2 linked regions of the Tribolium castaneum genome follow. Each later gene encodes a partner of the first gene's protein in a complex. Links are inferred from orthologs where the notes say so. Each region holds a gene or a part of one and is shown on either strand. Other genes may lie near its edges. The genes, in order: Vps39 and vacuolar protein sorting-associated protein 41 homolog.

Region 1 (3,829 bases):
ATTTTCTTTGAGAGTTTCAACACGTTTTTTAAACGACAAAAATAAGCAAAAAGACGACATCTGAGTAACAATTTTGTTTTAGTTTAAGGCTTAGGAATGTTTTTAGGCTAAATCCCATCGAAAACTCATTACACGCCTATTAACTATGTTTTTCGAAAAATTGTATCACAAATTTTTAAGCAAGTTTTTAAGTCAAACTTTATTTTTCGAGATTTAAAAATTACTAAATTAAATTGAAAAAATGGATTATAGCCCAGTCAAATTAGACAAATCGGTGGAAAAAATTCCTAGAGAGTTGTTTTAAAAGCTTCCTTTACACTTGTGTAGACATATATCAAAAGTCCCCGAAGTTGCGGGGCGAGCTCGAGGAGAGGAAGGGGGTTAAAGCAGTCTTTTTTGGTTTTTTGCTTTTATATCGGAAACTGTTACTCCTATCAATTTTTCTCTTAGCGAAATTAAAGCCAACAAAATTTCCTACAAAATGGTTATATGCATTTTTCTTATAGGACTAACCATAAGCGAGATATTAGTTTGAAAATAATTAAGAATTTAAAAAAAATGTGCTGTAAAAGAAAATGTCTTTCGATTTAAAAAACTGACAATAAACTGAATATATTGGGTCCAACACTTCATTAGAGGAGAAAGGAGGAGATATAGGGGTCACAGAAGTCCTTAGAATCGTCTTTAAATGCTGCATTTTCGTCTTCCCCTCATACATTGAAAACTGAATTACAGTCTTGTTCAGTAAAATATTAATAAATAGATGATTTAATATAGATGTTTTAAATAAATCTTATAATAAATTGTATGCATTGAATCCAACAGTTCATTCTATCATATCTTCTGGGTCATCTTCAGATGCTGAATTGTGGTCTTCAACTGGAAAGCCCGAGGGAAGAAACTATTTTTTTCCTTTATTTCCCACTCTTAGCTTAGGTGGAAAACGCTTTATACACTATTTCCATATAAATACTATGATATACTAATGTTTAGTTATACAGTGTCATGTAGACATTAAACTTCAAAAGCTAGTAACTTACGGTTAGTCCTACAATAATGAGGCTAAGACCATTTTTTAGGAAATTTTATCAACTTTAATTTTGGTAAGAAGATAAAAATTTATAGGGGTGACCGTTTCCGAGATATAAGCAAAAAAACAAAAAAAGACAGCTTTAGCTCCCTCCCTCTCCTCGAGCTTGCCCCCCACCTTTGGAACTTTTGATATATGTCTAACAACATGTAAAGGAAACTTTTAAAAAAAATTCCAACTCTCTAGGAATTTTAAATTAGTTTTAAAATTTGTTAGCTCAAAATTAACCACAAAATCATTAAGTTGATTAAAAATTACATTGTTTTTACACATTTTTTTATGCCTTTCGATGCATGATAATTGGTTATTTATTTTTAAACGAAATTAAATACGGTGTGATAAATTAAAACTAAAAAGACGTCGATCCGATTTTTACTATTTTCAATTATTTTCAGAAATTTACATTATACAGGTGATTTTTAAAAAACGGCAGATGCTGTAGAATTTTCATTTATGATCCGATTTCAAAAATAAAAAAACTATTAAATAGCTTCTTATGTAATATAAAATGATGCCTCTAAAATTTTTCAAAATATCAGAGTATTTGGGGTTACATTCACCTTTTTTTAATTTTGACCCACATTTTTCTTTTCATAATTTGGAAGATATTATTTTTTTGGTACAAACATGTGTACTACGTTCAGCTTTTACTAAAAATTGTTTTTTAAAAAAATGTAGGACGTTGAAAAAAATTATAAAAGTTAATACAATCTAATGGCATGGTGCCAATAAAAAATATTTACGTTAAAAATAATTATGTTACAACAAATATGTGGGAAATGTTTTTGAAAAAATATTAACTTTAATGTTTTTTTCTTTCAAATTTTTGAAGATATTTTTTTCTTGCACGTTTCAATTACAAAAAACAACTTACCTGTGTTTCAGATTGAAGCCGATGTCTCATCTCAGTTAAATAATCAATAAGTGCCAACAATCCCGTTTCTAATTCTTTTTCAGTCAAATCTTTTGGTGGTTCAGGATAATCTGTTGAAACGGTTTGTTGTGGAAGTAAATCAGGGAACAGTCGAATAACATCATATGGATCAGTTTCAAGTTTCAAAAACTCCTTCATACTTTCACGAAATTGCTTATTCACAAATAAATCATAAGCCAACAAAGTCTGAATCTGATGAATTTTCTCTTTTTTGTCTTCTTCATTCTCATTTGAAATTTCCTGTATTATTGTTTTTTTAATTTTTTAGTCAACTTAATTATTTCACTTACCGTCAATTTCAAAGCCAACTGGAATTGCTTTGATTCCAACAAAACTTTTCTCTGTTTTGCGACATCTACAGCTCGAATACACCAAACTTGACTGACAGAAGCCGCATAGAGTAGACCTTGTTGACAGGTGATAATAAATCTGACCTTGGAAAGGTCTTGTAAGGTTTGAACCAAACCGCATGGTTCCAAAGTTTGAACTTCAATACATTCGGAGAGAACGCCAAGGGCAAAAGGTTCATCCCATGCCAAGGTCAGTGGAACATCTGACCATCGCAAGGCCTTGGTTTTTTCCGTCTGACCTTTGGTATTTACGAGAACAGTTTGCGATTCGCGACACAATGCAAAAGTTTTTTCGGAGGCCTTGACAATACAAGGCTCACTAGATCGGCTACTGCTAGTCGGGAAAAGGTCAGTTTGTTGGCCATCCAACTAAAATTATTTACATTTTGTATAATTTATTTGTTTATTACCGCTTTGTATGTATCTTTGCAGCAATTAGTTGTCTAGATATACAGCGTGCTTAAAAACTGCTGCACCAACTCAATGGTGTGTGGTAGAGAACTGGTTACATATAAAGATAAAAATAGTAAAAAAATTATTTGTATTAAAGTTATTGATAAATAACAGATTTTAGATGATAAGTGGTAACGAATTTGAGCAACAATAAAAATAAATTATTTTTGAAACGGTTTCCTAGGAAATAATTCCCAGAGTTGACACATCTACACTGTGATTTTTTGGATGAATTTAAATTTTTTTAAATTCAAAAAACTGCTAAAATCTGATAGTAAATTTAAAAATAATTATTCATCGTTTTGTTACGGAACGATTACCTGGTGTATGAAACATAAAAACATAAAAAAATAATGAAAAAGTTAACACAATAAGTTTGTAGCTCCAGATTTTTTAAAATATGACTTTAGGAATTTTTTCAACATTTTTCCCGTAATCTGCACTTGCTTCTTAATAACGTACCACTGAGTTGGTGCGCCAGTTTTTGAGCATTCTGTATTCTAAACTTTGTTCTATTTTTTTCTAAAATTTTATAAAATCAGCAAAAAAACAGAAAATTATTGCATTATTTTCGGCCTTTTTCGATTGTTTTAGTACATATTTTTAATCTAAAAAGTGATTTTTCTGATAATAATAGAACGAAAGAGATGTTACTTTAGCTTTTTTCGCTCGTTCCGAACCATTAGATATTATCTATTTCGCAAAATGTTTAGAAAACAAGATAATGTTCAAATAAGTCGAAAACTGCCTTATTTTTAGATTTTTCGAGTGTCTTACTAGTTCGTTTTGTTAAAATACAAAATTTTAGAATATTTAAGAAATTCTTAAGCTAAAAACTGTTTTAAATTTCGCTGAAACAGACTGAAAAAAACAACCAAGTTAGAACAATATTGATGTTTCTTTACTTAATTTAGCTCGATTTAGTTCATTTTTAAACTAGAGATTTTGGAAGATTCTATGTGGAGATAGTAAATACATTCAATTAGTCTTTGCATTTTTCGA
Region 2 (3,829 bases), on another chromosome or scaffold:
AACAAAAACTGAACATAATTTTTCAGGTACGTCCAAATGGACGACGGACTCGACCAACAAGCTTTATACGTCAGCTCGCAAGAAAATTTCTATTACTTACGTCACGACAAACGAAAAGACATATTCTACAGTCCACACAAAGCGCACAATTTAATTTGCGAAGGCGCAAATTTTGTCTTGATGCGCTATTTGGCCCTAACAAAATTTGTCGGTTTTTTCGAAGTCTCGACCTTGTACATCAATGGTAATTTATGCCGTAATATTTACGTACGTAACACTTTGCAAAAAAAATACGATAATAATTAATAAGTGAAAAAAATCCAGGAATGTAAAGGTCCATCTAGTGGCATGATCAACAACAAAAAAGTGGACGTGTGCAAAATTTATCGCACGATAATTGAAGAATGTGGCATTAAACACAAAAGCATCACTTTAATGACTTTAACTGGGAAAATACTCAAACAAGAGTGGTATTTTTGCAATTATATCCTTCAGTTGAATCCTCTGACGGATCTTAGCGCCTTTAACAAGATACCTTTGGAGAAAAAACCGCTACAGGATGATATCCAGTTACTTTCACTTTATTTGGACGCGAAAGTAAGTAAAGTTAGGGTGAAAAAAAAAGACACAAACACAAAAATGTTTCAGATGATGAGTAAAAAACAAATCGCTAATTATTTAGACGACCAGCCAGAAGTGCGTGAAATGATCTCAGATTACGTCCAAACAATCCTCCAATTAAAACCAGAGGACGTTTTCCAATTCACAGCCAAGTATTTCCTGGCTTTTACGCCGGCCCTTTTGCCACAGAGTGAATATTTCGAAGGACCGTTCAATGTGGACGATGATGAAGATTACGATTTTTGGAAATATATTTAGTTATTTGTTGGCTTACCGTTGTTTTATTTATCGGATGGATAGCAGATGCCGCATCGAGTGGTGTTTTCAGGGAGGCATTGTTCGTGGAAGGCGTGCTTGCAATTGAAAACTGTTATGTTGGTACACCTGGATGGGTCCTTTTCGAGCACCATGTGGTGACAAGCGCCACACATTAGTTCTTCCGACACGCCAATACCTTGAAAGATGTTTTTAAAGGCAATTGTTGGCGAAATTTCCGTAAAAATAAAGGAAAAATCGCCAAATCTAGAGGATTTTTTTTTAATTTTTCCCCTTTTAAAGCTTTTAACCACATTTTTTTCCATGAAGAACGAAAGAATTTATTTTCTGAATCATAAAATTAATTAAAAAACACCTTTTTCAAGCGTGTGGTGGAAAGAAATTCAATTATTTTGCAAAATTTTTTAAAATGTAAGCCAATAATTCACAAAATTAGGTCAAAAATGACGTTATTTTTGAAAGTTCTGAGTATTTAAACATAATTTTAGACCAAAATTACAAAAAATTAAATTTTCCGAGCGTTTGTTTCGCGGAAAATCCACTATTTGGCTATAATTTCTTAAAATATAAGCCAATAAATCAAAAAATTTGACAAAAATTATATTATTTTTGCAATTTTTGAATATTTAAGCACGTTTTTAAGCCAAAAAAATTAAGTTTTTTACATGTTTTTGTTAAACTAGAACAAAAAATCCACAAATTTGGTCGAAAATAACTATAAATTTCAATATTTGATTCGTAGAAAGTCCATTTTTTGCAAAATTTCTTACAAAGTAAGCAAATAAATCGGAAAATTGGGGCAAAAATGTCATTATTTTTGCAAGTTCTGGGTGTTTTAGCAAGTTTTAAAGCCAAAAATTAAGTATTTTTTGCATGTTTTTGTTAAACTAGAACGAAAAAATCACCAAATTTGGTCAAAAATAACCAAAAATGTACCTTTTCCAATCTTTTGTTCAGCAAAAACTCAATCATTTCGTAAAATTTCTCACAAAATAACCCAATAATTCACAAAATTTGGTCAAAAATGACGTTATTTTTGAAAGTTCTGAGTATTTAAACATAATTTTAGACCAAAATTACAAAAAATTTAATTTTCCGAGCGTTTGTTTCGCGGAAAATCCACCATTTGGCTATAATTTCTTAAAATATAAGCCAATAAATCAAAAAATTTGACAAAAATTATATTATTTTTGCAATTTTTGAATATTTTAGCACGTTTTTAAGCCAAAAAAATTAAGTTTTTTACATGTTTTTGTTAAACTAGAACAAAAAATCCACAAATATGGTCGAAAATAACTATAAATTTCAATATTTGATTCGTAGAAAGTCCATTTTTCGCAAAATTTCTTACAAAGTAAGCAAATAAATCGGAAAATTGGGGCAAAAATGTCATTATTTTTGCAAGTTCTGGGTGTTTTAGCAAGTTTTAAAGCCAAAAATTAAGTATTTTTTGCATGTTTTTGTTAAACTAGAACGAAAAAATCACCAAATTTGGTCAAAAATAACCAAAAATGTACCTTTTCCAATCTTTTGTTCAGCAAAAACTCAATCATTTCGTAAAATTTCTCACAAAATAACCCAATAATTCAGAAAATTAGGTCAAAAATGACGTTATTTTTTAAAGTTCTGAGTATTTAAACATAATTTTAGACCAAAATTACAAAAAATTAAATTTTCCGAGCGTTTGTTTCGCGGAAAATCCACTATTTGGCTATAATTTCTTAAAATATAAGCCAATAAATCAAAAAATTTGACAAAAATTATATTATTTTTGCAATTTTTGAATATTTAAGCACGTTTTTAAGCCAAAAAAATTAAGTTTTTTACATGTTTTTGTTAAACTAGAACAAAAAATCCACAAATTTGGTCGAAAATAACTATAAATTTCAATATTTGATTCGTAGAAAGTCCATTTTTTGCAAAATTTCTTACAAAGTAAGCAAATAAATCGGAAAATTGGGGCAAAAATGTCATTATTTTTGCAAGTTCTGGGTGTTTTAGCAAGTTTTAAAGCCAAAAATTAAGTATTTTTTGCATGTTTTTGTTAAACTAGAACGAAAAAATCACCAAATTTGGTCAAAAATAACCAAAAATGTACCTTTTCCAATCTTTTGTTCAGCAAAAACTCAATCATTTCGTAAAATTTCTCACAAAATAACCCAATAATTCACAAAATTTGGTCAAAAATGACGTTATTTTTGAAAGTTCTGAGTATTTAAACATAATTTTAGACCAAAATTACAAAAAATTTAATTTTCCGAGCGTTTGTTTCGCGGAAAATCCACCATTTGGCTATAATTTCTTAAAATATAAGCCAATAAATCAAAAAATTTGACAAAAATTATATTATTTTTGCAATTTTTGAATATTTTAGCACGTTTTTAAGCCAAAAAAATTAAGTTTTTTACATGTTTTTGTTAAACTAGAACAAAAAATCCACAAATATGGTCGAAAATAACTATAAATTTCAATATTTGATTCGTAGAAAGTCCATTTTTCGCAAAATTTCTTACAAAGTAAGCAAATAAATCGGAAAATTGGGGCAAAAATGTCATTATTTTTGCAAGTTCTGGGTGTTTTAGCAAGTTTTAAAGCCAAAAATTAAGTATTTTTTGCATGTTTTTGTTAAACTAGAACGAAAAAATCACCAAATTTGGTCAAAAATAACCAAAAATGTACCTTTTCCAATCTTTTGTTCAGCAAAAACTCAATCATTTCGTAAAATTTCTCACAAAATAACCCAATAATTCAGAAAATTAGGTCAAAAATGACGTTATTTTTTAAAGTTCTGAGTATTTAAACATAATTTTAGACCAAAATTACAAAAAATTAAATTTTCCGAGCGTTTGTTTCGCGGAAAATCTACTATTTGGCTATAATTTCTTAAAATATAAGCCAATAAATCTAAAAATTTGACAAAAATTTTATTATT

Evidence for each region.
Region 2: Vps39 (region 1) and vacuolar protein sorting-associated protein 41 homolog share a complex: the UniProt entries of both Homo sapiens proteins name them as parts of the homotypic fusion and vacuole protein sorting (HOPS) complex. The link is inferred for Tribolium castaneum from reciprocal best matches to the Homo sapiens genes VPS39 and VPS41.

Annotation. Positions count from the first base shown.
Region 1 is NC_087402.1:12,351,633-12,355,461, forward strand, and holds part of Vps39 (vam6/Vps39-like protein), read right to left. Parts: intron 2,744-3,829; coding exon 2,315-2,743; intron 2,265-2,314; coding exon 1,965-2,264; intron 1-1,964. UniProt on the Homo sapiens protein: Regulator of TGF-beta/activin signaling, inhibiting SMAD3- and activating SMAD2-dependent transcription.
Region 2 is NC_087401.1:16,023,694-16,027,522, reverse strand, and holds part of vacuolar protein sorting-associated protein 41 homolog, read right to left. Parts: intron 1,076-3,829; coding exon 903-1,075; 3' UTR 896-902; intron 895-895; exon of another isoform or gene 880-894; coding exon of another isoform or gene 649-879; intron 598-648; coding exon of another isoform or gene 325-597; intron 268-324; coding exon of another isoform or gene 27-267; intron 1-26. Other genes in the region: ciliogenesis-associated TTC17-interacting protein, read left to right, coding at 27-267, 325-597, 649-879. UniProt on the Homo sapiens protein: Plays a role in vesicle-mediated protein trafficking to lysosomal compartments including the endocytic membrane transport and autophagic pathways. Acts as a component of the HOPS endosomal tethering complex.